Linked DNA regions of Oryctolagus cuniculus. The protein of the gene in region 6 purifies or fractionates together with the protein of the main gene of each other region. This does not show direct contact. Links are inferred from orthologs where the notes say so. Each region holds a gene or a part of one and is shown on either strand. Other genes may lie near its edges.

The links.
Region 1: the proteins of AMBRA1 (region 6) and HSPD1 purify together in Homo sapiens (affinity purification with mass spectrometry, with the first as the bait; 3 studies listed by BioGRID). This does not show direct contact. The link is inferred for Oryctolagus cuniculus from reciprocal best matches to the Homo sapiens genes AMBRA1 and HSPD1.
Region 2: the proteins of AMBRA1 (region 6) and CUL4A purify together in Homo sapiens (affinity purification with mass spectrometry; 11 studies listed by BioGRID and IntAct, with this or other methods). This does not show direct contact. The link is inferred for Oryctolagus cuniculus from reciprocal best matches to the Homo sapiens genes AMBRA1 and CUL4A.
Region 3: the proteins of AMBRA1 (region 6) and DNAJB1 purify together in Homo sapiens (affinity purification with mass spectrometry, with the first as the bait; 3 studies listed by BioGRID). This does not show direct contact. The link is inferred for Oryctolagus cuniculus from reciprocal best matches to the Homo sapiens genes AMBRA1 and DNAJB1.
Region 4: the proteins of AMBRA1 (region 6) and BAG5 purify together in Homo sapiens (affinity purification with mass spectrometry, with the first as the bait; 3 studies listed by BioGRID). This does not show direct contact. The link is inferred for Oryctolagus cuniculus from reciprocal best matches to the Homo sapiens genes AMBRA1 and BAG5.
Region 5: the proteins of AMBRA1 (region 6) and STUB1 purify together in Homo sapiens (affinity purification with mass spectrometry, with the first as the bait; 3 studies listed by BioGRID). This does not show direct contact. The link is inferred for Oryctolagus cuniculus from reciprocal best matches to the Homo sapiens genes AMBRA1 and STUB1.
Region 7: the proteins of AMBRA1 (region 6) and DCAF7 purify together in Homo sapiens (affinity purification with mass spectrometry; 3 studies listed by BioGRID and IntAct, with this or other methods). This does not show direct contact. The link is inferred for Oryctolagus cuniculus from reciprocal best matches to the Homo sapiens genes AMBRA1 and DCAF7.

What each region holds. Positions count from the first base shown.
Region 1 is NC_091434.1:42,771,222-42,774,721, reverse strand, and holds part of HSPD1 (60 kDa heat shock protein, mitochondrial), read right to left. Parts: coding exon 3,403-3,500; intron 1,984-3,402; coding exon 1,884-1,983; intron 953-1,883; coding exon 707-952; intron 2-706; coding exon 1-1. UniProt on the Homo sapiens protein: Chaperonin implicated in mitochondrial protein import and macromolecular assembly. Together with Hsp10, facilitates the correct folding of imported proteins.
Region 2 is NC_091440.1:735,103-739,274, reverse strand, and holds the start of CUL4A (cullin-4A), read left to right. Parts: upstream 1-1,372; 5' UTR 1,373-1,492; coding exon 1,493-1,640; intron 1,641-1,726; coding exon 1,727-1,842; intron 1,843-4,172. Other genes in the region: PCID2 (PCI domain-containing protein 2), read right to left, coding at 695-730. UniProt on the Homo sapiens protein: Core component of multiple cullin-RING-based E3 ubiquitin-protein ligase complexes which mediate the ubiquitination of target proteins. As a scaffold protein may contribute to catalysis through positioning of the substrate and the ubiquitin-conjugating enzyme.
Region 3 is NC_091447.1:63,137,027-63,141,243, forward strand, and holds DNAJB1 (dnaJ homolog subfamily B member 1), read right to left. Parts: upstream 2,801-4,217; 5' UTR 2,693-2,800; coding exon 2,482-2,692; intron 1,850-2,481; coding exon 1,269-1,849; intron 1,164-1,268; coding exon 933-1,163; 3' UTR 20-932; downstream 1-19. UniProt on the Homo sapiens protein: Interacts with HSP70 and can stimulate its ATPase activity. Stimulates the association between HSC70 and HIP. Negatively regulates heat shock-induced HSF1 transcriptional activity during the attenuation and recovery phase period of the heat shock response.
Region 4 is NC_091451.1:46,388,092-46,392,172, forward strand, and holds the start of BAG5 (BAG family molecular chaperone regulator 5), read right to left. Parts: upstream 2,801-4,081; 5' UTR 2,665-2,800; intron 2,600-2,664; coding exon of another isoform or gene 2,477-2,599; exon of another isoform or gene 2,408-2,476; intron 2,376-2,407; exon of another isoform or gene 2,099-2,375; intron 1,806-2,098; exon of another isoform or gene 1,664-1,805; intron 1,384-1,663; 5' UTR 1,359-1,383; coding exon 15-1,358; 3' UTR 1-14. UniProt on the Homo sapiens protein: Co-chaperone for HSP/HSP70 proteins. It functions as a nucleotide-exchange factor promoting the release of ADP from HSP70, thereby activating HSP70-mediated protein refolding.
Region 5 is NC_091450.1:34,026,459-34,030,012, forward strand, and holds STUB1 (E3 ubiquitin-protein ligase CHIP), read right to left. Parts: upstream 2,068-3,554; coding exon 1,912-2,067; intron 1,745-1,911; coding exon 1,546-1,744; intron 1,471-1,545; coding exon 1,305-1,470; exon of another isoform or gene 1,221-1,304; coding exon 1,133-1,220; exon of another isoform or gene 1,011-1,132; coding exon 768-1,010; exon of another isoform or gene 698-767; coding exon 572-697; 3' UTR 501-571; downstream 1-500. Other genes in the region: JMJD8 (jmjC domain-containing protein 8), read left to right, coding at 65-132, 206-340, 417-497; RHBDL1 (rhomboid-related protein 1), read right to left, coding at 2,407-3,061, 3,133-3,193, 3,263-3,363. UniProt on the Homo sapiens protein: E3 ubiquitin-protein ligase which targets misfolded chaperone substrates towards proteasomal degradation.
Region 6 is NC_091432.1:19,388,919-19,392,418, reverse strand, and holds part of AMBRA1 (activating molecule in BECN1-regulated autophagy protein 1), read right to left. Parts: coding exon 2,906-3,500; intron 1-2,905. UniProt on the Homo sapiens protein: Substrate-recognition component of a DCX (DDB1-CUL4-X-box) E3 ubiquitin-protein ligase complex involved in cell cycle control and autophagy.
Region 7 is NC_091448.1:15,127,963-15,131,462, forward strand, and holds part of DCAF7 (DDB1- and CUL4-associated factor 7), read right to left. Parts: intron 3,096-3,500; coding exon 2,886-3,095; intron 959-2,885; coding exon 841-958; intron 1-840. UniProt on the Homo sapiens protein: Involved in craniofacial development. Acts upstream of the EDN1 pathway and is required for formation of the upper jaw equivalent, the palatoquadrate. The activity required for EDN1 pathway function differs between the first and second arches.

The DNA.
Region 1 (3,500 bases), on a different chromosome or scaffold from region 6:
CCTGAAGTTCCAGAAGTTTCAGTTAGTATGGCTCCTCCCATTCAAGATGTGGACTACCTAAAAGGTCATTTAGAGATCATCCAGGAGCCAGCGCTGCAGTGCAGTGGGTTAAAGCCCTGGCCTGAGGTGTCAGCATCCCATATGGGCGCTGGTTCTAGTCCCTGCTGCTCCACTTCTGATCCAGCTCTCTGCTGTGGCCTGGGAAAGCAGTGCAAGAAGGCCCTAGTCCTTGGGCCCCTGCACCCACGTGGGAGACCTGGAAGAAGCTCCTGGCTCTGGATCAGCACAGCTCCAGCCATTTCGGCCATCTGGGGAATGAACCATCGGACAGAAGATCTCTTTCTCTGCCTCTCCTCTCTCTGTGTAACTCTGACTTTCAAATAAATAAATAAATCTTAAAAAAAAAACAAAAAAACACAACTATCCAGTTTACTTAAAATGCAATTTTAAGGGGGGAAAAATGTTGCCTACTTGTTAAAAGGAACTGCAACAACCCACAAAAGACAGATTCCAGAATGACTTTCTCATGAGCATCTTTCCCACAGCAATTTCCCCCCATAAAACTAGTTTACAAAAGCAATGTTTCGGTAAACAATTTTACATAATGAATATTGCCATGAGCACATTACTCCCTCAAATATTTAGGTTCCACAGTACTACTGGGAAATACTATAGAAGCAAAAATCAATACAACAGTGAATCTCACCTTTAGCACAGCTACTCCATCTGAAAGCTTTGCAAGACGTTCATTCAGTTTTTCTTTTTCATATTCACTAGTCGTGATGTCTAACTGCTCGATGATTTCTTGAATACGTTTTTCAATTTGAGCCTTGTCACCTTTTCCTTTCAAAAGCATAGCATCATCTTTGGTCACAATGACTTCTCCAACTTTTCCTAAGTCATGAGGTTGAACATCTTCAAGATTTAGGGTCAATCCCTCTTCTCCAAATACCTACAACATTTTAAAGTTGTAAGTTATCATACTGTACTTCTTTGAAATGAACAGACTTCAAGACCAACATAAGTCTATAAGAAGATTTAAATTGTCTTTCATTGCATTTTCAACATCTCAGTTTTCACAACTCTACCAGTCACTATTATTCTAATTTGAGAAATACTCAATGCCACACTTATTGAAGGAAGGGAGACTATACCGACCATAAGCTGAAATTCTTTTTTTTTTTTTTTTTTTGACAGGCAGAGTGGACAGTGAGAGAGAGACAGAGAGAAAGGTCTTCCCTTTGCCGTTGGTTCACCCTCCAATGGCCGCCGCGGCCAGTGCACTGCGCTGATCCGATGGCAGGAGCCAGGTACTTCTCCTGGTCTCCCATGGGGTGCAGGGCCCAAGCACTTGGGCCATCCTCCACTGCACTCCCTGGCCACAGCAGAGAGCTGGCCTGGAAGAGGGGCAACCGGGGCAGAATCGGGTGCCCCGACCGGGACTAGAACCCGGTGTGCTGGCGCCACAAGGCGGAGGATTAGCCTACTGAGCCGTGGCGCCGGCCAGGCTGAAATTCTTTAATCCCACAATGGATTATTTTTTATCACATTATTGACTTTCAAAACTGAAAGCAGATTTAGTAAAAAAGCTCATTCTTAGTAAGCCAAAAACATGGCAAATCAGAGATAAAAGCAGCAGAAGATAGCCCAGCGCTGGCCACTGTGGTCATTTGAAGAGTGAACCAATGGATGGAAGATCTCTCTCTCTCCCCCCTTTCCTTATAACTCTGCCTTTCAAATAAATAAATAAGTCTTTTAAAAATAAATTTTAAAAATTAAAAATAAACAGTAACTAATTGTGAAAAATTAAATTCTCTCTAAATTTTAGACCTGGAAATATAAATAACATTCAGTAAACAAATATAAAACTTAAGTTTACTTACTGCACCACCAGTAGCAATAGCCATATCTTTAAGCTGGTTCTTTCTATTGTCACCAAAACCTGGAGCTTTGACTGCTACAACCTGAAGACCAACTTTTAGCCTGTTAAGGACAGAAGACGGTGAGACTTAAATTGAATAAAAATACCTACTATCTAGTTTAGTTCCTCTCAAGTCCTGGTACTACCAGAACTGTTCATATTAAAAGAGGAAAAGTAGGAGACAGAGCTATATTCTACTCATCTATACTTCTTTGTAGCTGATTACCTTCTTAATAAACTGCTGGCCTCACATTCCAGTTGAACCGCTGAACCCAGAAGCAAAAATCACATTACAATTAAGGACATATTAGCAACTATTTTATGAGTGATGGAAAACAATAATTATAAAATATTAAAAGTAAATGAGTAATCTAATGAAGACTTCTATGGGTTATTGTTAAAGTTAAGTTTGAACAAAGAATGTCCCAAATTTAGCTCTTTTATAAATGTTATACAAAACTGTAGTGTTAAACTCACCTGAAATTTTATCAGGTAAATGAATACTTGAAATATCATAATCAAAGAAATGTCCATTAGAGAGCAGATTGTGAACAAAACTTTAAGACAGTGTCGCTCTATTTTACTGAGACAAATAAAAAACTAGGATAAGCTATGATGATATGCTATGAAAACTGGGCAAAGACTTTAGAGCTACCGGTAAACAGCTCAACAAAAACTTTGCACTGTTTAGAATATGACCATTACTTATTTCAAGGTTAAAACCAATATTAAACTATAAACTTGTTGAATAGACTTCATCTTATTTTAGGTTGAGTGTTAATTTCTCTCACTTGAGAATATGAAATACTTATCACTAAATACACTAAGGGATGAGGTTTTTATAATGGCAATTATTTCCTTCCTTCCTTGTTCCATGCAAAATTACCTTGTGTTCCTCGGGGCTCGCTTGTGGCACAGTAGGTTAAACTGCTGCCTGTGACACCTGCATCCCACATTAGAACACCGTTTGAGTAGCAACTGCTTTGCTTCCAATTTAGCTCCCTGCTAATGTATCCAGGAAAGCAGTGGAAGATGGCCCAAGTATTTGGGCCCCTGTGACCCACATAGGAGACCCAGATGGAGTTTCAGGCTCCTGGCTTCAGCCTAGACCAGCCCTGGCTGTTGCAGTCATTTAGGGAGTGAACCAGTGATGGACATCTCTCCCTGATGTTGTCTTTCAAATAAATAAAAATAATTCTTAAAGTCTTCTGAAACATGAAGATGCAAGCAGCACACCTGTACTCCAAAAAGCTGATAAAAAATAGAACTAAAGATAGTTTGGTCCAAAGAAACAATTTAAAACCATGCAGTTTTTTCCATAAGAGGCTTTTTACACAAATTTTGTAAAGAACTTTCATATACACTACAAATCTAGATACAAACACAGGTTGATAGAATATGGAGGAACATAATGGAGATTTCAAACATCAATACAAGTTCTTCATCAGGAAATGTGAAGTATCAAATACACTGCTTATTACCTATTCAAAACAAGTGTACTCAGAGCTTCTCCATCAACATCTTCAGCAATTATGACCAGGGGCTTACGGTGAGCATTGGCAATTTCAAGAGCAGGTAC
Region 2 (4,172 bases), on a different chromosome or scaffold from region 6:
ACACAGCAGTAGGCAATCTCTCCCGCCCTAGGGAAAGTCAGACCCACTTCCTCCCCAGAGCTACTAGGAACCCATCACAGGGTGCTGAAATCAGGAATGGAGGCGGGTGCAGGTGGACAAGGTCCCTACGCTCGCAGTCCGACGCGCCAAGAAACATCATCCTTTGGAAAACTCAATGCTGAAAACACGGCCTTGCGACCAGAGCCCGGGCCCGCGCGTCCCGGCGGCGCCGTCTGAGCCCAGAGCCTCGGTGTGGCCGCTTCTGTGCCCTGCAGCTGCAGCGTCAGACACGCAAGGCGGGGCGAGGTTCACCAGGGGCAGATGCCGTGGGGCTCTAACTCCCCCAGCTCCCACGGGTCCCGTTCCCAGGAGATCGCGGCCGCGGGGTCGCGCGCCCTGGCCGCAGAGCCAGCGCGCAGGCCGCGGTAGGAGCCCAAGTCCCGCCGACCCGCGTTCTCCCCCGCATGTTACATCCGGCCGCCATCCCGCGTCGACAACCCGCCACTTCTAAAGCGTTCCAGAACCCCGGACACCCGCGGCTGAGCGACCGTACCGGCGCCGCCCCCTGGGAAAACCCGAGGGAAGTGGCCTCCGGCAGAGGCGGGCCGCCCGGGGCTCCCCGCACCCCGCACACGGACACGCTTCGGTGCGGCGGCCCTGCGCCAGCAGCCACGCAGCGCCCGCCAGCACCCACCTGCTGCAGGTACTGGTTGATGGTGATGTGCGCCATGGCGCGGCCGCCGCGCAGCCTGCGCCCGGTCCGCCCGCGTCAGGCCGCGCGTCACTTCCGGCCGGCGGTCCGTCCACCGCCAGGCGCCCCCCGACGCCAGCGTCGCTCGCACATTGGTTCCGGCCACAACGTGCGCCGCAAGCGCCGCCCCGGCAGCTCGGCGCCGAGCCCGGTGGAGGGCGGCCGGGGTCTGGCGCCGCTCGCCTCGCGCGCTGGGGCCCGCGACCCCTCTCGTGAAAAGCACTCCCCGCAGCGACGTTCGGCTCGCGGCCGCAGCCGGCCCGGGCGCGCCCCCGAGTCCACACACAGGGTGCCGGCGCGCGCGCCCGCAGACTAAGATGGAGGGCGGCCTCGCGCCCCCTCCTCAGCCCGCCCTCGGTGGGGCGGCGGGGGTCCGGGCGCGCGCCGCCGCGCCGGCGGCCGCGGGGTGCGGCGGGCTCCGCGGCGCCGGCTTCCCGCGCAGCCCCGCGCCCCCGAGGGGAGGGGCGGCCCGGCGCGCGGCCCGGCGCGCGCGCCCCGGAGTCTGAGCGCGGCGTCCCGCGCCCGGCGGCGGGAGGGGCGGGCCGGGCCGACGGCGGCGGCGGCGGTTGGGCTCCGGGGCGCGGGCGGGGCGGGGCGGGGCGGCCTCGGCGCAGGCCCGGACGGAGGCTCGGGAGCCGGAGCCGGCGCCGGACGCGGGCGGACAGGGCCGGAGCCGGGCGCACGGGGCGCGGGGCGCGGGGCGGCGTGCCCGGGCGGGTCGGGCGGCGTCCGGCCGCGGCCATGGCGGACGAGGCCCCGCGCAAGGCCGGCGTCTCGGCCCTCGTGGGCCGCACCAACGGCCTCACCAAGCCCGCGGGCCTGGCCGGCGGCCCCAACAAGCCGGGCGGCGCGGGCGGCTCCAGGAAGCTGGTCATCAAGAATTTCCGAGGTGCGGCCTGGCGGGCGCGGGGCGCGGGGCGCGGGGCGGCGCGGACGCGGGGCGGCCGGCCGCGCCTGACCCTGCGCTCTCCACAGACAGGCCGCAGCTGCCCGACAACTACACGCAGGACACGTGGCGCCAGCTGCACGAGGCCGTGCGGGCCATCCAGGGCAGCACCTCCATCCGCTACAACCTGGAGGAGCTGTACCAGGTGAGCGGCCCGAGTGGCCCGGGGCCGCGGCGGGCGCGGGCGCGGGCGGCACGTGACCGCGCGGCCTTCGCGCGGGCCGCGCTTATGTAAAGTGCCCGCTGCGGGGACGGCCCGCGCGCGTCTGGATGCGGTTCGCCGTTGCGTGTCCGGGGTCGGGAGGAGCGGCCGGGGGCGCGCCGCGTGGGGAACTTGGAAGCCACTTGGCGGCCCCTCGGGAGCGCGCTTCCCCCCGATGTGCGGGGAGCTGTGCGAGTTTTCCCTGCAAAGCCTTGGGCTGTGGGTGTATTTGCGTGACGTTAGCGGCGCTGCGCAGTGCCACGGAGGGCCTGTAGGCCCCCTGCGTGTCCCGCCACCCACCCTGCCGGGGCCTCCCTTATCCAAACTCCCGGAATGCTCCAGAACCTGACACTGAGCACCGACGTGGTGACACAAGTGGAAAATTCCACACCTCGTCGCACGTAATGGATCCCAGCGCGAATACGGAGCACTGGGCGTGAGAGGGATACCTGTGCTTGGAGCTGGAGCCCCCCCCCCGCGCCTGTGTGCGTGTGTGCGTGACAGGGCGCGTGTGAACTGGCCGGCCTCTGCGTCTCTCTAAGCCGTTCTCTCATCGTTTACATAGGATGTGTAACTTGGGTCTTACTAAGTTGTTACGGATGTGGACGTGTCTCCCCTCCCAACCAGCTCCATCGTCTTTACTTACTTGTTTTCTGTCCCCATAGCTTGCTGTTTCTGGAATCTCATCCAAATAGAATCATGCGTTTTGCATGTCTGACTTTTTTTTTTTTTTTTTTTTGCTTAGGGTGGAACTTTTAAAAAAATTGTTTACTCTCATTGTATTTGAAAGGGAGAGGAGGGACGGAGGCAGAGTTCTTCCACGTGCTGGGTCATTCCCCCAGCTGTCCACAACAGCAGGGGCTGGGCCAGGCTGAAGCCAGGAAATCATCTGGGTCACCCACACAGGTAGCAGAGCCCAAGAACTCCAGCCATCATCTGCTGCCTCCCGGACTGCGCGTTAGCGGAAGCTAGAATTAATTGTAAGTGGAGTCACAACTCAGACCCAGCCATTCTGATGGGCGATTCAGGTGCCACAGGTGGCTTCTCGCCCACAGCACCACACACATACCCACGATACTTCTGAAATCCATGCACACTATGTGATAGTAATTAGCTTGTTTACTATTTATTTATTTGAAAGATAGAGCCAGAGAGAGAGGGAAAGAGACAAATACGGAGATCTTCTGTCTGCTGGTTCAGTCCCCAGATGGCTGGGCCAGACGAAAGCCAGGGCCCTAGAAATCCATCAGGGTCTCCCATGTGGGAGGCACAGGCCGAGGCTTTGGGCTATCTACTGTTTTCCAAGGAGCATTGGCAGGGAGCTGGTCAGGAGTGGAGCAGCTGGGACTCCAACTGGAGCTGGGTCCCCATAATTTGTTTCTTTGTATTCCTGTCCTGCTTGGGTGTACTGTGTTTGGCTTATTCTTCACCAGTTAATGGACACTTGGGTATCAAGTTTTGGGTTACAAATAACGTAACAAACATTCTCATTCCTCTGGAAGTAGATCCCCAGGGTCCCGTGGAAAAATACTTGTTCAACTGTATAAGAAATTTCCGGGGCCGGCACTGCGGCACTGTAGCGTAGCTGGTAAAGCCACAGCCTTCAGTGCTCACATTCTGGGAGTCCCAGCTGCTCCACTTCCGATCCGGCTCTCTGCTATGGCCTGGGAAAGCAGTAGAAGATGGCCCAAGTCCTTGGACTCCTGCACCCACGTGGGAGACCTGGAAGAAGCTCCTGGCTCCTGGCTCCTGGCTTTGGATTGGCCCAGCTCTGGCCGTTGTGGCATTTAGGGAGTGAACCAGCAGGTGGAAGACCGCTCTCTCTGCCTCTGCCTCTGCCAGTCTGTAACTCTTTCAAATAAATAAATAAATCTTAAAAAAAATAAAGAAATTGTGGCCGGCGCCGCAGCTCACTAGGCTAATCCTCCGCCTAGCGGCGCCGGCACACCAGGTTCTAGTCCCGGTCAGGGCGCCGGATTCTGTCCCGGTTGCCCCTCTTCCAGGCCAGCCCTCTGCTGTGGCCAGGGAGTGCAGTGGAGGATGGCCCAGGTGCTTGGGCCCTGCACCCCATGGGAGACCAGGAAAAGCACCTGGCTCCTGCCATCGGATCAGCGCGGTGCGGCGGCCATTGGAGGGTGAACCAACGGCAAAGGAAGACCTTTCTCTCTGTCTCTCTCTCTCACTGTCCACTCTGCCTGTCAAAAATAAATAAATAAATAAATAAATAAATAAATTTCTTGCTTTTCAAAGCGGTGGCACCATTTACTAAGTCC
Region 3 (4,217 bases), on a different chromosome or scaffold from region 6:
GAGCCGAGGGCCGCTCCCGGGAGGTTTCTCATACAGTCTTTAATGCCATCACCCTGCACAGCGACAAGTCACACACACTTTGGTCTCATGTCGGCAGTGGCAACGTACAATGAGTCTCAAGGGGCTGAGCACCAGACGGGTGTCCCGGGAATAGACCCCGCCTCCGCCCGGGGCCATGGGGGCAGGGCAGGGCCCGTCTGGGGGCACCCCGGCCTGACGGGGAGTTATAAAAACATTTACAGGCTCCTGCAATCGGGAGCAAAGACCCTTTTATCAAAAGGGATTATAGCTATGTCTCTATACATCTCTCCAGGGTTGTGCAAAATTCCGAAGGATCAGATCCCTTTGAGAGAGAAACAAAACGAAACGAAACAAAACAAAGTCCAGAGTCCATGGAACAGAAAGGGCACCCGGAGCTGCCCAGAGCTCGCTCTCGGCAAAGCACGGCTGGGCCCCGTCTCCGTGAGCTCCCGGGCTCCCGTGGTCCCGCTGGAAAGAGGAAGGTATTGCTTGTGGGCGCCGGCCGGGCAGTTCTGCAGAGTCTAGCTTTCTCCACCTGAGATGGCCAGGATGAGCCGGGGGGTGGGGGTGGGGGGAGGCATGGAGCAGGGGAGACAAAGCACAGGACCCAGCTGCAGGTGCGGGGGGGGGGAGGTGTCTGGAGGAGCGTGGGGCGGGGCGGGCCTCGTCCTGCTCTGCCCACCACCTGCCGCTCCGCCGCCCGAAAAACCAGCACAGTCGAGTGCACGACTTTCAAAGATTGTAATATATTCTCTGGAAAACATAGAGCAGGATCAGGCTCCCGGGCCCTCCCGCCCTCTCACGGTCCACGAGTGCCGGGGTAGCCGGAGACGCTGAGCTCTGGCGAGGTCCCTGGGGCCGGCGGCGCCCGGATGATGCGGGGGCGGTGGGTGGGTGGGTGTGTGGGGGCGCTAGATGGGCAGAACCTGCTCCAGGACGGTTCTCGACGTCTGGGGGATCCTTTCGGGGAAGACCACCTCAAATTCGATGATGAGGTCCCCGCGCTTCTCCGGCGTCTTGGGGAGGGGCAGGCCTTCGCCCGGCACCTTCCGCCGCATGCCGGGCCTGATGACGTCTTTGAAGACAACGGGGATGCTGCGGCCGTCCAGAGTCGGCACGTTCACCGTGCAGCCGCACAGGGCCTGGGCGGGGGTGGGGGGGGGTAGGACAGCGGTCAGCCGCGAGAGCCTGGGGAGCCCCGCCCGCCCCCAGCGCACCCCCACGGCTCCCCACCCCCGCGGCCTCACCTCCCGCAGGCTGACGCGGGCCGGGTAGATGACGTCCGAGCCGTCTCTCTTGAAGATGTTGTGTGGCTTGTCCTTGAGCACGAACACGATGTCGGCGGGGATGTTGCTGGAGGTCTGGTCCCCCTCCTTGGGGAAGGTGATCTTGGTGCCCTCTTTCCAGCCCCGCTTCACCTCGATCGTCAGGATCTTGTCTTCGTTCCGGATGCTCTTGCCGTCGGGGTTCAGCCGCTTGTGGGAGATCTTCATCTTCTTGGTGCAGCCGCTGTAGATCTCTTCCAGGGAGACCCTGAGGTCGTGCGTGACGGGCGGGTCTTGCTTCTTGCGGGTGGGCTCCTGGGCCGGGCGCGAGCGGCCGAAGTTCATGTTGGTGAAGCCGCCCACGCCCATGGGGAAGCCGGCGAACGGGTCGTCGATGTCCATGCCCTCTTCCCCGTTCCGCTGCCCAAAGAACGTGTCAAAGGGGTTCCGGCCTCCGAAGAACTCGGCAAACATGGCGTGCGGGTCGCCATGGAACGTGTAGCTGAAGGACGTCCCGTTGGCCCCGCCGCCGCTGCCCCCGCAGGGGCCGCCGCCCTTCAGGCCTGCGAAGCAAAAACGCAGGGACGTGAGGGGGCGGGGCGGGATTGCTCTCAGCCCGCCGAGGGCCGGACCCCAAGCTTGCACCTGCCGCTGCAGACACTGGGGGCCTCGGCCCGCAGGTGACAGCCACCAAGGCCCGGCCCCTGCCTGCTCCCGGCTGATCCTCCCAAGAATCCACCAAGAGACCCAGACATGACCCGGGGTGGGGGAGAGGGGGGAAGAGCGGCGGCCACGTCCCCTGAGCCCAGAGAGAACGTGGGCAAATGCAGGCCAACCAAAGACACCCCGGAAGCTTTCTGAAGCTCTCCCGTCCCAGCACCAATCGCCGCTGCCCTGATGATCGGAAAAAAAAAAAACACACTCTACTGGCTCAGGACCGAGCCCGGAAGCCGGTGAGTCACCGACGGGCAGCTGGGCAGGCCGAGACCCGGCCGCCCCCCGCCGCGCCCCCCGCCCCGGCCCGCACCGGGTGCAGACCCAGGGAGGGGCCGCCCGGACGTGCTGGAAGCTTCTGCGCGAGCGGCGAGCCGGGGCTCCTCCTCCGCCCGCCGGGGGCCCTCTCAGCAGCCCCCCACCCCCGGCCGGCGGCGCGCGTGCCTCGGTTTCCCCGCGCGCCGCGGCCGCGCGCACGCACCCTCCTCCCCGTAGCGGTCGAAGATCTCGCGCTTGCGCGGGTCGCTCAGCACGTCGTAGGCCTCGGCGATCTCCTTGAACCGCTCCTCGGCGCCGGGCTCCTTGTTCTTGTCCGGGTGGTACCGCAGCGCCTGGCGGCGGTAGGCCCGCTTCACCTCCTCGTCCGACGCGCCGCGGGCCAGGCCCAGCGTCTGGTAGTAATCCTTGCCCATGGCGCCCGCCCGCGGCCCCGCCGTACCCGGCTCCGCCGCCGCCGCCCGGCCCGACTCTATATACCCGTCCGGCGGAAGCTTCCAGAGCCCGCCAGCCCCCTCCAGAACCTTCCGCCCCGCCCCCCGCGCCGCGCCGGCCAATCGCCGCGGCCTCGGCCCCGTGACGCCCCCATCCGGGGCGGGGCCGGGCTGCCAACGGCCGCCCGCGTGCGGCCACGCCCCTTCCCTCTCAGACCCCCCCCCCCCGCCTCTCCCGGCAACGCCTCCCCGCGGCGAGGGCACTGGGCAGGCGGAGGGCCCGCCCACCCCCTCGGGGAGAACCAATCACGACTTCCCGCTCACTGTCTTCTAGGATCTGGCAGGCTGCGAGCCCTGTCCGTTGCCGGGTCCACAGGTTACCGCAGCGGAACGCGGAGCTCCGGGAAGGGGCGGGGCGAGACAAAGCCCCGCCCCTCGAGGTGGCCCCGCCCCTGTTCCCAGCAGATATAAACCTGGCCTCCCGTCTCGCAGGCTGGGTCGTGCAAAGTTCGGCAGGCTTGGTGCTGTTTAGCACAAGTGCAAGAGTGGCACGCCCTCCTCAGCCAGCGGGGAGGGGACAGTGCGAGCCACGTCCACTCCCCTGGAGAGGGTCCTGCCCTTCCTGCCCCTGGTGTCACCCTTGCCGCTGAACTTGCCGATAAACTTGAAATTCCCTTTTCCTTGGCTTCCCTCCCTCCCAGCCTGGGCTGGCGACCAGGACCAGAACCGGGTTCTGCCTGTTCCTAAACAGTCCCGGTATTTGGCTCCTCAACAGACCTGGTTTCTGGCTTTAAAAATTTTTTTTTATTGATTTCATTTTATTTGAAAAGCACAGAGAGAGAGAGAGAGAGAGAGAGAGAGAGAGAACTTTCATTCAATGGTTCACTCCTTAAATGCCTGCGATAGCCAAGGTTGGGCCAAGCCAAAGCCTGGAGCCAGGGACTCCATCCAGGTCTCCCACGTGGTTGGCAGGGACCCAAGCATCACCTGTTGTGTCCCAGGATGCTCATTAGCACGGAACTGGAAGGGCAGCAGAGGAACCACGAGTGAGCCCAGACGCTCCCATGTGGGATGCAGGAGCTCTGGTTGGCATCTTTTTTTTTTTTTTTTTTTTTAAGATTTATGTATCTGGGGGCCAGCGTTGTGGTGCAGCGGGTTGAAGCCCTGGCCTGTGGCACCAGCACCCCATATGGGCACCGGTTCTAGTCCTGAATGCTCCTCTTCTGATCCCTCTCTCTGCTATGGCCTGGGAAAGCAGTGGAAGATGGCCCAAGTCCTTGGGCTCCTGCACTCATGTGGGAGACCTGGAAGAAGCTCTTGGCTCCTGGCTTTGGATCAGTGCAGCTCTGGCCATTGCAGCCATTTGGGGAGTGAATCAGCAGATGGAATATCTCTCCATTTCTACCTCTCTGTAACTGTCTTTCAAATAAATAAATAAATTTTTAAAAAAGATTCACCTATCTATTTCAAAGTCACGAATCATAGAGAGAGGGGGAGAGTCTGAGAG
Region 4 (4,081 bases), on a different chromosome or scaffold from region 6:
GTGCCCACTCGCGGTCAGTACTCCCACTCGTCCGACTTGAGGTCCAGGTAGCTGAGGATGTTTTGCGCCAGCTTCACGGCCTGCTTGCGCGCGGCCTTGCACTTCTCCTCGCCCTGCGGGTCGACCGCGTCCAGGGCCAGCAGCTGCTTGGTGAGCAGCTCCTCCAGCCGGATGTAGTTCTTGTCGCTGCGATTGCCGTCGAAGGACAGGACCTCCCCCTGGATCTCCGACAGGTTCCCCAGGACGCTCCAGACGGCCTGGTGGGACGGGTGCTCGGCGCCCACGCTCTGCTTCCTCTTCTCCAGCGCCTCCTTCAGGTCCACGTAGGTGACCAGCGTCTGCACCTCGATCACCGCCCGTCTGCGCGCCTCCCGGATGCAGGGGTTCTTCTCCAGGCTCACCTCGTCCAGCTGCCCGATGAGGCCCTGCAGCTCCGTCTTGGAGCTCAGGTACAGCTCGGCCGGGCTCTGCGCGCGCAGAAGCTCGGCCCTGACCTCCCGCGTCCTGGCGCGCACCTTCTCTATCTCGAGGATGGACTGGTTCTGGCCCAGGTCGAAGGCGCGGGTCGTGTCCGCCTCCTCCTCCAGCTCCAGGTACTTGAGCAGCTTGTGGATGTCCTCCACCACCTCCCTCCGGTAGTTCCTGATGTCCGGGTGCCCGGCCACGTCCAGCGCGTCCAGGTCGGCCAGCAGCCCCGAGAGCACGCAGGACAGGTGCCGGCAGGTCTCGTCGGCGCACACGCCCATCAGCAGCGCGACCACCGTGCCGCGGGCCTTGCTCACCGTGCACATCACGGCGTTGATCCTGGCGACGCACGGGTGCGCGTCCTCGGACAGCGGCAGCGACGGCTGCTTCCGCAGGCAGTCCTCCAGGATCTCCTGCACGGCGCACACCCTGCTCAGCGCGCGGTAGCGGGCTTTGCGCAGCGAGACCTTGCCGCCGGTCTTGACGTGCGTCAGCCGCAGCACGATGTCCTGCAGGCGCTCCTCCACCTCGTCCGCGGCGCAGCCTCCCCCGCTGTGCAAGGGCGCGATCTCGTCCTGCGCCAGCGCCTGCGCCTCGCGGAACAGGTTCCGGATCTCCAGGCGGCGCGGGTGGCTGGCGTTCTGCTCCAGCTCCTTGAGCAGCCGCTCCGTCTCCTGCGCCGCCCGCTTCCGCGCCTGCTGGACGTCCCCCCTGCCCTCGGTGTCCACGGAGTCGATCTCGAACAGCTGCCGCGTGAGCATGCGCTCCAGCCTCCGGTAGGCCTTGTCGTCCGCCAGCCCGCTGAAGCCCAGCACCTGCGGCTCCACGGCCTTCACCTCCCGCTGGATCTCCTGCAGCCTGCTGATGGCCGGGTGCTGGTTTCCCATGTCCATGCTCCGCTGCCTGGGCTCACGAGCGCTGCGGGGCGACAAGAGAGCTCATTCAGAGCGGCCGCCGGCAGGTCCGCGGACCCCGGCCGGCAGGCCCAGGGCCAGCCCGAGGGGCCGCCCGGCCCGCGGCACAGAACAGCCCGCAGGGCACGCCCGGGCCAGCAGAATGCGGGACAGGCCCCGCGACGGGGCCCCAAGCTCCGCCGGGGCTCCCCGCCCGGGACAGCGCCCACTCTGCCTGCACTGCCTCCCACGAGGGCCCGCGGGCGCCGCCGCGGGCCCGGGCCTCCCTCCCTCTCGCACTTTACCCGGCGGAGGTCCCGGCTCCCCGGAGGCGCGGCGGCGAGGTGGAAGATCAGCCCTTCACCGGGTGCGGCGGCGGGGCCGGGCCCCTAACGGCATCCCCTTCAGCCCCCCGGCTCGGTCTGGACGGGGCGGCCGGTGAAGGGGCCGGCGGCGGCGGCAGCTACTGGCCGCAGCGGCCGCTCCGGGCGTCTCGGCCCCGGGCCCCCGGCTCGCCGCCGGCCCTGACCTCACAATGGGCGCGCGGGGGAGGCCGAGGCCCGGGCGCCCCGCGAGGACGGGCGGGAGGGGCGCGGAGCGGGGCCCAGCCCGGCGGGGAACCCGGCCAGGCGCGGCCGCGTGGGAGCCCGTGGGGGGGAGCAGGGTGGCCCGGCGGAGCCCCGCGCCGGCGCGCGCGCGGAGAGAGCAGACGCGATCGCCGGCGCCCCCGCACCACTCACCCGCGCCATCACGCGCTCCGCTGCCGCCCACGACTTCCGCAGAGCCCGCGGCGCCCCCGTCCGGGGCCGACCACCCCCAAGCCCTGGGAAAAGACGGCTCCGCGCCCGCGCCTCACCTCGAGCCGCGCCCCGGGCCTCTGGGACGACAGGGATCGGGGAACTGTCGCCGGCGTTCGCCCGCGCTGCCCGGTCCCGGCAGGCCTCCTCCGCGCCGCCCCGTCCCCACAGACCCCCTCCGCGAGCCGTGTCACCGCGGGAAAAGCGCGCGGTCGGCCCCTCCGCGGCGCGCCCGCCGGCTTTGCGACCCTGCCGTAAGGCAGCCCCGCTCGCCGTCGCGAACGCCGCCGGGTGCCGCGGGAGCAAGGTGGGCGCGGCCCCATGGCGGCGGTGCGGCGGGCGCCGCGGACCCTCGTCCCGCCCCTCTGCCGGGCCTTCGCGGGCGGCGGCGGGCGGCGGGCCCCGGAGCGCGGTGCGGAGCGCAGGGAAGCAGCGCCGAGCGGGGTAAGCGCGCTGCCGGGGCTGCCGGGCCGCCCCCGGTCTGGCGCCCACCGCCGCGGTGCACGGACCTGGTGTTTGCCCGAGGGCGAGTTCCAGAAGCGCCCGGAGGGGCTCGGCGAGTGGCTGCGGCCGCGGCGTGCGGCCGGCCGTGCTTGTCCTCAGGCGCTGGCGGGCCGGGGCGGTGAGGCCGGCGCGGAGCCGGGCCGGGCAGTGGTTACGGAGCGAGGAGAGGGGCGGTGAGGCCGGCGCGGAGCCGGGCCGGGCAGTGGTTACGGAGCGACGAGAGGGGCGGTGAGGCCGGCGCGGAGCCGGGCCCGGCAGTGGTTACGGAGCGACGAGAGGGGCGGTGAGGCCGGCGCGGAGCCGGGCCCGGCAGTGGTTACGGAGCGACGAGAGGGAGCCCGCTGGCCGTTGCGACACTTTGGGCCTGCGGGTTTTCGTGCGGCCGCCGCCCCGACTTCCGCTCCCACGCGCGCACACCCACCAGGCTCGCGGGTGTCTGGGGAGGATTCAGCCTCTGAAAGGCGCTGGCGGGGGCAGCCGTGTAGCAACGAGAGGGTTGCGCGGGGTGCGGCGTTTCCGCGGCCGGTTTGGGCGCCGGTGCCAGCGCCGCAACAGGTCCCGCAGGCTGCTTGCTGGAGAACCGGACCCGCGCAGGGGCTGTGCGGGCCGTGTGGTCAGGTCCTGTGCGGGCCGTGTGGTCAGGGGCTGTGCGGGCTGTGTGGTCAGGTCCTGTGCGGGCCGTGTGGTCAGGGGCTGTGCAGGGCCGTGTGGTCCGGGGCCGTCTGGGACTGTGTGGTCCAGTGGCGTGCAGGGCCGTGTGGTCAGGGGCTGTGCGGGCCGTGTGGTCCGGTCTGTGCGGGCCGTGTGGTCAGGGGCTGTGTGGGGCTGTGTGGTCCGGTCTGTGCGGGCCGTGTGGTCAGGGGCTGTGCGGGGCTGTGTGGTCCGGTCTGTGCGGGCCGTGTGGTCAGGGGCTGTGCGGGGCTGTGTGGTCCGGTCTGTGCGGGCCGTGTGGTCAGGGGCTGTGCGGGCCCGTGTGGTCAGGGGCTGTGCGGGCCGTGTGGTCAGGGGCTGTGCGGGCCCGTGTGATCCAGTGGCGTGCAGGGCCGTGTGGTCCGGTGCTGTGCAGGGCCGTGTGGTCCAGGGCCGTCTGGGGCTGTGTGGTCCGGGGCCGTCTGGGGCTGTGTGGTCTGGTCCTGTGCGGGTCGTGTGGTCGTGTCCTGTGCGGGCCCGCGTGGTCCAGTGGCGTGCAGGGCCCGCGTGGTCCAGTGGCGTGCAGGGCCGTGTGGTCCAGGGCCGTCTGGGGCCGTGTGGTCCGGTGCTCTCCGGAAGAGGCAGGGCAGAGCCGGAGCCGCTTGGCCGCGTCCAGCATTGTGACCCCCGCCGTGTGCTCGGGGTCCGAGTGTCCGTGCTGCCGGGTGTTGGAGGGAGCTGGGGAGCCGCTGTTGCCCAGGGCAGTCGTGTGTGCTGGGCCTGCTGCGGGCG
Region 5 (3,554 bases), on a different chromosome or scaffold from region 6:
CGGGAGCCGGGGACGGGGGCAGGGCAGGGGGGTGTGGTTTTTTGCTCACCCGCCAAACCCACAGGCGCGGGCACCGGGGTGCCCTTCCACTGGCACGGGCCCGGGTATTCGGAGGTCATCTACGGCCGCAAGGTCAGTGCCGTGGGCAGGGGCTGGGCGCGCGGACCCGCGGACCCGGGGTGAGCGTGCGCTTCCCCTCCCCCAGCGCTGGTTCCTGTACCCGCCCGAGAAGACGCCGCAGTTCCACCCCAACGAGACCACGCTGGCCTGGCTCCGGGACACGTACCCAGGCCTGGCCCCGGCCGCGCGGCCGCTCGAGTGCACCATCTCCGCGGGCGAGGTCCGGGCCGGGGCCGGGGCCGGGGCCGGGGCGGGGGAGGCGAGGCCCCCCGCTGACGCCCGCGCCCCTCCCGCAGGTGCTGTACTTCCCGGCCCGCTGGTGGCACGCCACGCTCAACCTGGACACGTGCGTGTTCATCTCCACCTTCCTGGGCTAGCGCTCGTGCTCACGGACTTTATTGCAGGACAGGGGCGGCGCCGGGGCGGGGGCGGGGGCGGGCCTTGCAGGGGCTCAGTAGTCCTCCACCCAGCCGTTCTCCGAGATGAACGCGTCGATGACCTCCTTCATGGCCAGGTTGGGGATGAGCTGCTCCTGGGTCAGGGGGCTCCGGGTCACGGGGTCAAAGTGGCCCACGCGCTGCGGGGACAGCGGGGTCAGCGGCGCGGCGGGGCGGGGCGCCCGGCCGGGCCGCCGCGGCCGCACCCACCTGCAGGTGCTCCTCGATGTCCTTGCGGTCGTAGGTGATGCCGCTGGGGGTGATGCAGGGCTCCCGCATCAGCTCGAAGCTGATCTTGCCGCACAGATAGTCGGGGACGTCGCGCCTCTGCACACAGGGCGCGCTCAGTGGGCGGGCGGCCGGCACCTGCCCACGGGCCCCGCCGACAAGGCTCACCTTTCTCTTCTCGTCCACTTGCGAGAAGAGCTCGTCCATGTCCGCCAAGTACTTGTCCTGGAAGAAGCGAGGGGGCGCTGCCCCGGGGCCGCACACGGCCCTCCCCCGGCCCAGCGCCGCCTGCCCCCGCCGCCCCCGCCGCCCCCGGGGCCCGCGCCCGCCGGCCGGGCCGCCCTCACGTGCTTGGCCTCAATGCAGGCCTGCTGGGCGCGGACGTGGCCGTCGTCCTCGTCCCCCTCGTGGCTCCGCTGGCACTCCTCCAGCTCCCTGCGGGCGAGCGGCCGCGCGTCAGGACCCGCCCCGCCCCGCCCCGCCCCGCCCCGCTGTCAATAAACGCGCGGAGGGGCCCACCTCTCGCGCTCGGCCGCGATGAGCCTGGCGAGGTAGGCGTGCAGCTCGCTCTCCTGGTGGATGCGCCGCTCCTCCAGGCTGTTCCAGCGCTTCTTCTTGGCGATGCGCAGCGCGCTGGGGATGTCGTCGCCGAAGTTGAGCCGCTGCTCCTTGGCCAGGCTGTAGGCTGCGGGCGCGGGGCGCGCGGTCAGCCCGGCCGGCCGCCCGCAGCCGCGCCGCGCGCCCCGCGCCGCGCGCCCACCTCGCTGCAGGTTGGCGATGGCCTCGTCGTAGCTCTCCAGCTCCAGCTGGCACTGGCCCAGGAAGAAGTGCGCCTTCACCGACTGGCCGTCCAGCTCCAGCGCGCGCCGGCAGTCGGCCAGCGCCTGCTCGTGCTGCTGCATCTTCAGGTAGCACAGGGCGCGGTTGGTGTAGTACACCGCCACCAGCGGGTTGCGCGTCTGGGGAGAGCGGGCGGCCGCGCTGTGGGCGTGCGCGCGGGCCGCACCCGCACCGCACCCGCACCCGGGCGGCCGCCGCCGCCGGGGCCGAGTCAAACGCCCCAAGCCGGGGGGCCCCGAAGGGCCGCGCCCCGGCGCCAGGCCCGCCCCCGGCGCGGCGCACTCACGATGGCGCGGCCGTAGCAGGCCGCCGCCTCCGGGTACTTGCGGCCCACGAAGAGCCGGTTGCCCTGCTCCTTGAGCTCCTGCGCGCTCGGGCTCTTCTCGGGGCTGCCGCCGCCGCCCAGCCGCGCGCCGCCCTCCTTCTCCTCCTTGCCCTTCATGGCGCCGCGCGGCACGGCCTGGGCTCCGCTCGCGGGCTCCGCGCCCGGCCGCCCGCAGCCCGCGCCCCGCTCGGCCCGGCCCGGATCGCCGCCACCGGAACTTCCGGCCGCGGGGGGCGGGGTCGCGCGTGCGCGCTGCGGCGGGGTGGGGGCGGGGCCCGCCGCGCGGAGCCTCCGAAGGACCGCCTCCCTGCGGCCGGGCTCCGCCCCTCCGCGCACGCCCCGCCCCCGGCATGGGGGCAGCGGGAGGCCGAGGCGTGCAGCGCGTGCGGGCCCCCGGGGGCGGGCCCCGCCGGCGGAGACGACCCAGGACGCCCTGACCCGCAGCTGAGTACGGCCTCAGCTGCCGCAGCCGCCCGGGCACCCTGTGCGGCCCGTGAGGCAGCGTCCGCACAGGTGGGAGCGACCCCGCCGGCGCCGCCCCCTCGGCATGGGCGGTGGGACACCGTGCCTGACCGGCCCCAGCCTGGCCCCCTCCCCCACGGCGTGCAGGCCGAACTCGTGGGCCAGGACACCCACCGCCTGTCCCCTGGGGCCGCAGCCCAGTCCCTTCGTAGATGGGAGGGCCCCGCACGGTCCGCGGGAAGCGGGGGGCAGAGACGCCTCCAGACCCCGGACAGCCACCTGGTGCCGTGTAAAATATTTATTCACTCTGCAAAAGGCGCGGACCGCGGACCCGGGGGCGGGGCGGGGGCAGGGCCTCCCCTGTGCCCAGGAGGCGGTCAGGGCGGCGGGGGGACGTGGGCGCCCAGCAGGTCGTAGGCAAAGACGTTCCAGAAGACGGCGAAGAGCAGGAAGGTGCCGTAGGCCAGCAGGACCACCCACCAGCCGCACTGGTCCCGCAGGCGCTCCTCGTAGCTGCGTAGGATGGTGAGGCCCATGCTCACGCCCACCACGGCGCCCGCCAGGTGCGCCATGAAGCTGGGCTGCGGGCCCGAGGCGGGCAGCGGCGGCGAGAAGCGCAGCCACACGGCGCGGCCCACCTCCGAGCTCACTGCGGAGGGAGGCGGCAGGTGGGCGGCGCCCCGCCCGCGGGCCCGCCCCGCCCGCCCCGCCCCTACTCACTGCACACCAGGGCCAGCACCATCCGCAGCAGCTTGTAGGGACACCGCATCCCAGCCCAGTTCTGAGGGGCGCGGAGAGGCCGTGAGACAGGCCCGCGGCGCCCGCCCCGCCCCCCGCGGGCGCCCATTACCATGACGACGTTGGCCAGGTGCGCCGAGCACAGGGCGTAGACCCCGCCGGAGCCCCCCACCACGGGGGCCCGCATGTCGGTGATGGACACGGTCAGGGAGCCTGCGGGCCAGGAGGGCAGGGGTGAGGCCCGGCGGGCGGCGCGGGGCGGGCCGGGGCGCGGCGCCTCACCTGCCAGCACGCCCGCCAGGTACAGGAGGCTGATGCGCAGCGCGCCGTGCACCATCTCCAGGGGCACCCCGATCATCAGCTGCAGCAGGGCGTTGAACCCCAGCTGCTCCAGCCTGGCACAC
Region 6 (3,500 bases):
AATGCCGGTTTCCCACATGGGTATCAATTTGTATCCAAGCTGCTCCACTTTTTTTTTTTTTTTTTTTTTTTGGACAGGCAGAGTGGACAGTGAGAGAGAGAGACAGAGAGAAAGGTCTTCCTTTTGCCGTTAGTTCACCCTCCAATGGCCGCCACGGCTGGCGCACCGCGCTGATCCAAAGGCAGGAGCCAGGTGCTTCTCCTGGTCTCCCATGGGGTGCAGGGCCCAACCACTTGGGCCATCCTCCACTGCACTCCCTGGCCACAGCAGAGAGCTGGCCTAGAAGAGGGGCAACCGGGACAGAATCCGGTGCCCCGACCGGGACTAGAACCCGGTGTGCGGGCGCCGCTAGGTGGAGGATTAGCCTATTGAGCCACGGCGCTGGCCTGCTCCACCTTCAATCTAGCTCCCTGCTAACGGCCTGAGAAAAGCAGCGAAAGATGGCTCAAGTGCTTAGGATCCTGCCACCCACAAATGAAACTCCTGACTCCTGGCTTTGAGCTGGCCAAGCCCCAACTGTTATGGCCATTTGAGTAGTGAACCAGTGGATAGAAGATGGATTGAGCTCATGTTCTCTCTCTGTGTAACTCTTTCAAATAAATAAATATATTAAAAAAAAAAAAAAAAAGTCTTTCCTTTCTCCAAATCTTACTTGTCATTCAAGACTGGACTTTAGAAAGTGGGTGCCGGCACCCTGGTGCAGCAAGTTAATCCTCCACCTGCAATGCTGGTATCCCATATGGGTGCCAGTACTAGTCCCAGTTGTTCCACTTCCAATCCAGCTCTCTGCTATTGCCTGGGAAAGCAGTACTAGATGGCCCAAGTCCTTGGGCCCCTGCCCATGTGGGAGACTCAGAAGTGCCTGGCTCCTGGCTTCGGTGCGGCTCCAGCTACTGCGGATTTGGCGAGTGAACCAACAGAAGGAAGACCTTTCTCTCTGTCTTTCCCTCTCACTGTTTGTAACTTTGCCTCTCAAATAAAAGAAATAAAATCTTAAAAAAAAAAAAAAAAAAGTGTTCCTGAGGCCAGCGCTGTGGCTCAGTGGGTTAAAATCCTGGCCTGAAGTGCAGGCATCCCATATGGGCACTGGTTCGAGTCCAGGCTAGTCCTCTTCTGATCCAGCTCTCTGTTATGCCCTGGGAAAGCAGAAGATGGTCCATGTTCTTTGGGCCCCTGTATGCATGTGGGAGACCCGAAAGAAGCTCCTGGCTCCTGGTTTCAGATCGGCGCAGCTCTGGCCAATGTGGCCAATTTGGAAGACCTCTCTCTCTCTCTCTCTTTCTCTGCCTCTCCTTCTCTCTCTGTGTAACTCTAACTTTCGAATAAATAAATAAATCCTCTTTTAAAAAGGTGTTCCTTGATGACACTTCCTTTTTCTTGAAGTTATACTACATTTAATCTCAGTACCACTGAGTGAAGCATATGGTCAACTATGCTTTAGATAAACTTTATGTCAATAAGTCTTGACTCCACGTTAACATTCTATACTACAGTGGGCAAAGTTGCTATATCATCCTTCTTTTGCATGCCCCACAATGCCTCGCCCAGTACTGAAAAAGTTGTAACCATTCAACCATAGCCATTGTAATTAATACTAATTGGGTAACTGTCTAAAGCATCTTCCCAAAATAACAAGAACATTATGTGCACAGTCCATATTTTCACCCTTGCTATAAGCTTACGTCAAAGAAATTTCAGTTGCTTCAAATGGAGGATATAATACAGAGAGAGAAGCTGTTTGGATCCAACAGGCATATTCTGGGAGTTGGTGATTACGCTAGATTTGACCTTTACAAAATTACACAAACAGGGCCCTAATAAATCAAGATAGATGTGTGCAGAGCCATACATGGAACATGGAGTGGGCGATCAACTACACCCACTCTCTTTCTTCCATGAAAGATTCTTCTTCCTCATCCCAAGGTGAATGTTCAGCTGGAAGGTTCATTCTAAGAATCATAACAATTTACATATATGTGTGTGTGTATTTGTGTGTGTGTGTGTGCGTGTGTGTGTGTATATATATATATATCTTTTTGGGGCAGGCATTTAACGTAGAGTCTAAAATGTCCACATCCCATACCAGAGTTCCTGGGATCATTACACAGCTTCGCTCCTGATTTCAGCTTTCTGTTAATGCAGGCCCTGGGAGGTAGCAGTGATGGGTCAAGTGACTGTGTTCCTGGCACATGGGAAACTGGGATTGCGTTCCTAGCTCCCGGTTGGGCCAGCCCTATTGCTAGCCACTGTGGGCATCTGGGGAATAAACCAGCAGATAGAAGCCCTCTGTCTCTCAAATAAATAAATTTTTAAAATTCACCTTTTCTTGACATAAATGCATGTTGTCTTTTTTTTCTCTTTGTCAAGCTGCAGTGTTCCAAAAGCTAAGGATTAAGAGGTGAACAGCTATCCAAAGCAACACAAAGAGCTGGAACAATATAGTAATCTATATCAAGCAGGATTCTTTTAGTACTTATTCCTAGATACTCAGACATTTTCTTGTCCCAAAATAACTAGTCCTGCAAATAAAATCTTTCAAGAATGCCCAAAAAATAAAAATAAAAATAAAAATAAAAATAAAATAAAATAAAAACCCGGCAGAGGAAGTCAATGGTTCCATCTCCTCATGCCTTCTAACCTAATCAACACCCTCCTTTCAAGGCTAAACCCAGAGCCTTAGGCTTAGCCAGAAATAGATATAGCACAGCCAACTGACTCATATAGCTAGGCCCTTTCCTATCTCTGCCACCAGAATAAAATTTTCCGAAATGATGCAATGGAGACATCCAAACCAGATGCATGGGTCCCAGTCATCCAGAGACAGCCACAGCATCTACAGGACTGCAGGCAGAGGTGCAGGGAGGCAAGGAAAGGATGCAGGAGCCGACAGGAAGCCACCGCTTACCTCCTGAGGGAATCTTCCTCAGAGCTTTCCTCAGGCAAGTCCTGATGTAAGGCCTCCTGTGACACAGTTCCAGGTCTGCTGGACTGGGTGTAAATTCTTTCCCAGTGGCCTGTCTCCTGGTTAAAGGCCACCCCCACAGTCCTCTCCTCCTGCGGACTAGCAGAGCTGCTCAGCTCCAGCCTGCTGGAGCTGGGTGTTTGACCCTCAGTCCGCTCGAGAGGTGGCAACTGGCTGCCACTCGACGGCATGCCCTCAAAGGTACTGGGGACCTGCCAAGAGGACGCAGCCTCACCCGAGGAGTAGCTGGGTGTGGTTCTTTCCCAGCGCAGGGTATCGTTGTTGAAGGTCAGGAGATTGTGGCAAGCACGGCAGCGGTTCAGGTGGCCACGAGACAGGCTGGAGTTGTTCTCACTGCTGTGTGGGGTGGGCTGGTGGGAAGGGCCTGGCCTTTCAGATTCAATGTTATTGTTGAGCATTTCCTGGGCCTGCTGGGTCTGGGGGGCTTCCCCACTGAGGCTCTGATCCAGCTCCTGAAGCCGATCGTATTCCAGAAAGAAGCGTCTCAGGTCACACTGGAGCTCATGGCGAATGCTGC
Region 7 (3,500 bases), on a different chromosome or scaffold from region 6:
GCTATGCCACAGCGTTGGCCCCTCCACACCTCTCAATAGCCAAGGTCATGTGGGGCCCTTTAGTGCCTGCAGAGTTCACAGTGAGCTCTTTATAGTGTGGCCTCAGAGGTCCCAGGGAGACGCCCAGGTTGGCTGTCCCAAAGATCCTGTGGCATCCAAGAGGGACGCCTTCTCTGTCTCACATTCTTGGATCTGAGTCCCTTGCACCAACCTAGAACTCTGGTGTGTGTGTGGGTGCATATAACACACAGGCCAATCCCCGACACGTGATATAAGTTGTATGTACAAGATGCTCCAACAGGGACTGGCATTGTGGCACACCGGGCTAAGCCTTCGCCTGTGGCGCTGGCATCCCATATGGGTGCCGGTTCTAGTTCCAGCTGCTCCTCTTCCAATCCAGCTCCCTGCTAATGGCCTGGAAAAGCAGTAGAAGATGGCCCAAGTGCTTGGGTCCCTGCACCCACGAGGAAGACCTGGAAGAAGCTCCTGGCTCTTGGCTTTGGATTAGCTCAACTCTGGCCATTGAGACCTTTTGGGGAGTGAACCAGCAGATAGAAGACTTTTTCTCTGACTTCCCCTCTCTGCCTGTAACTCTACCTCACAAGTAAATAAATAAAATCATAAAACAAAACAAAACAAAAAAAGATGCTCTGACAGCACTGAGGGTATGGGATCACCTGCGAATGTGAACTATTTTATTTTCACAAGTGTGGGGAGGCTCTGAATTGAACTATGTCATGTGGAAGTCTCCAACTGTCCTTGGAAAACAGCAAGGTCTGTTAACTGTAAGGAGCCAAGAGTGGCAGATTTCCTTATTACCCGTCCCCCCACCATGGTTACCTGCAGTACAGATGTGGCAGGAAGAATGCGGGGCCCAGGCAATGCCATTGACACAGGCTCGGTGGTTGTTTAACCTGGCAACAGGTGTGCAGGGAACTCGGACGTCCAGAATCACCACCTGCAGAAACACAAGTATAAGGCCCAGGAACTTGGGGTGTAACAGAAGAAACACGAGAACCAAAGACACTACACCAGGGAAAATCTTGTTTAAGTGTCACTTTTTCATTTGTGGACTTAAAGAATATTAGAGATGCAGGTTTTCCTAAGGATTGAGGAAAAAAGAAAACACAGAACACAGGTAGTGAGGGATAGGAAAGGGGGATGGAAAAGGTAACACATATTTAGACGATCCACCAATTCCTGGCAGGTGCCTGAGAGAAGAATTCTGTACATCTCAGCTGGACAGAATGAGAGCCCTGGCAAGGCAGAATCTGGAACCAATGAAGAAGTCTAAGGAACTGGCTTCATCAAACCAACGCTAACCACGTGCCTGCCACCCACCTTTATTGAGTAACAGGCTACAGAGAGAGCTGCCATTCCTAGATTCCTAGATGTGTTTGCTAAAGCTGGACGACTCTGCCCAGACCACCCAAGGGGATTTTTTTTTTCCCCTCAGCACCAAAAGCACAAATGATTTAGTTTACTTTTTTTTTTTTTTTTTTTTTTTTGACAGGCAGAGTGGACAGTGAGAGAGAGAGACAGAGAGAAAGGTCTTCCTTTGCCGTTGGTTCACCCTCCAATGGCCGGCGCACCGCGCCTATCCAAAGGCAGGAGCCAGGTGCTTCTCCTGGTCTCCCATGGGGTGCAGGGCCCAAGCACTTGGGCCGTCCTCCACTGCACTCCCTGGCCACAGCAGAGCTGGCCTGGAAGAGGGACAACCAGGACAGAATCCGGTGCCCCGAGCGGGACTAGAACCCAGTGTGCCGGCGCCGCAAGGCGGAGGATTAGCCTACTGAGCCGTGGCGCTGGCCCATTTAGTTTACTCTTAAGTACTATTTTTCTTGGCACCAACTCTCCAAGTATGAAAAGTTGTTGGGGCCAGCGTTGTGGCATAGTGGGAAAAGCCACCACCTGCAGCACCGGCATTCCATACGGGTGCAGGTTCAAGTCCCGGCTGCTCCACTCCTTTTTTTTTTCTTCTTTCCTTCCTTTCTTTCTTTCTTTCTTTTCTTTTCTTTTCTTTTCTTTTCTTTTCTTTTCTTTTCTTTTCTTTTTTTTTTTTTTTTTAAGATTTTGTGTATTTATATGAAAGACAGAGTTACAGTCAGAGACAGGGAAAGACAGACAGGTCCTCCATCTGTTGGTTCATTCCCCAAATGGCTGCAGTGGCCAGAACTGGGGCAATCTGAAGCCAGGAGCCAGGAGCTTCTTCCTGGTCTCCCATGTGGGTGCAGGTGCCCATGGACTTGGGCCAACTTCTACTGCTTTCCCAGGCCATAGCAAGAGAGCCGATCAGAAGAACAGCTGGGACACAAACTGGCACCCACATGGGATGCTGGTGCAGCAGGCAGAGGCTTAGCCTATTGCACCACAGTACCAGCTCCCTGATGATGTCCTGGGAAAGCAGCAGAGGATGGCCTGAGTTTTGGGCCCATGTACCCATGTGGGAGATCTAGATGAAGCTCTCGGCTCCAGGCTTTGGACTGTTCCAGCCCCGCCCATTATGGCCACTGGGGAGTGAACTGGTGGATGGAAGATCTCTCTCGCTGTCTCTCCCTCCTCTTCCCCACTCTGCAACTCTAACTTTCAAATAAATAAATAAATCTTAAAAAAAAAAAAAAAAAGAAAAAATTCTTAGCCACAGTCCTTGTCCTAGATCAGGCTTTCTCAGCCTTGGCATTATGGACATTTCAGGGGGATAATACTTTGCCAGGAAGCTGTCCTGTGCACTGTAGAAAGCGTAGCAGCCTCCCAGATCCATCTGACCCTGGACATTTCCAAAGATCCCCTGGGGGCAAGGCTGCCACCAGTAGAGAACCAATCTAAGCACTCGTCAGCGCTGGAGTTCAGTGGCAGGGCCTGTGTTAGACTGGGCGGGTGCTCACCTCCATTCCATCCATGGCCATGGTGGCCAGGTAGTTAGGGTCCTGCTTGTTCCAGCAGAGGCGCAGCAATGGGTGATGCTGTGGGTCTTCATAAATGATGGTGCTGTGTTCCAGATGACGGAGGTCAAACATTCGCACGGAGCCATCAGCACCCACAGACGCAAACATGTCTCTGCCACCCCCAGCCCGGCTAAACGCGATGTCATAGACCTATTGTGGAAAAGGAAGCTTCAGTCAGATGCAGAACTGTTACCTCCTTTTCCTATAGCAGGGAAATCTAATTCATCTAAACCTGGTCCGGAGACCAAGAGGTGAAACAACTTTGAGTTATGGGGAGGTTCAGGAACCCCTACATTCACAAATGGGCGTAGGATCACTGTCGTCCTTCCATACATTCTGCTTCTTCCCTAGGACGATTTATTCTTGTATGTGAATCTATTCAGGTTTGAATCATTGTGTTCCGCATTTATCATTTGCTACAAACACTGCTTATCACACATGTCTCTGAAGAAACAGAGGCAGAGAGAATGGAGAGCTTCAGAGAAACAGAGGGACTGAGACAGAGAGGCCAGAGGCACACATGTGAAAACAGACAGAAAGAAAATCACAAATGTC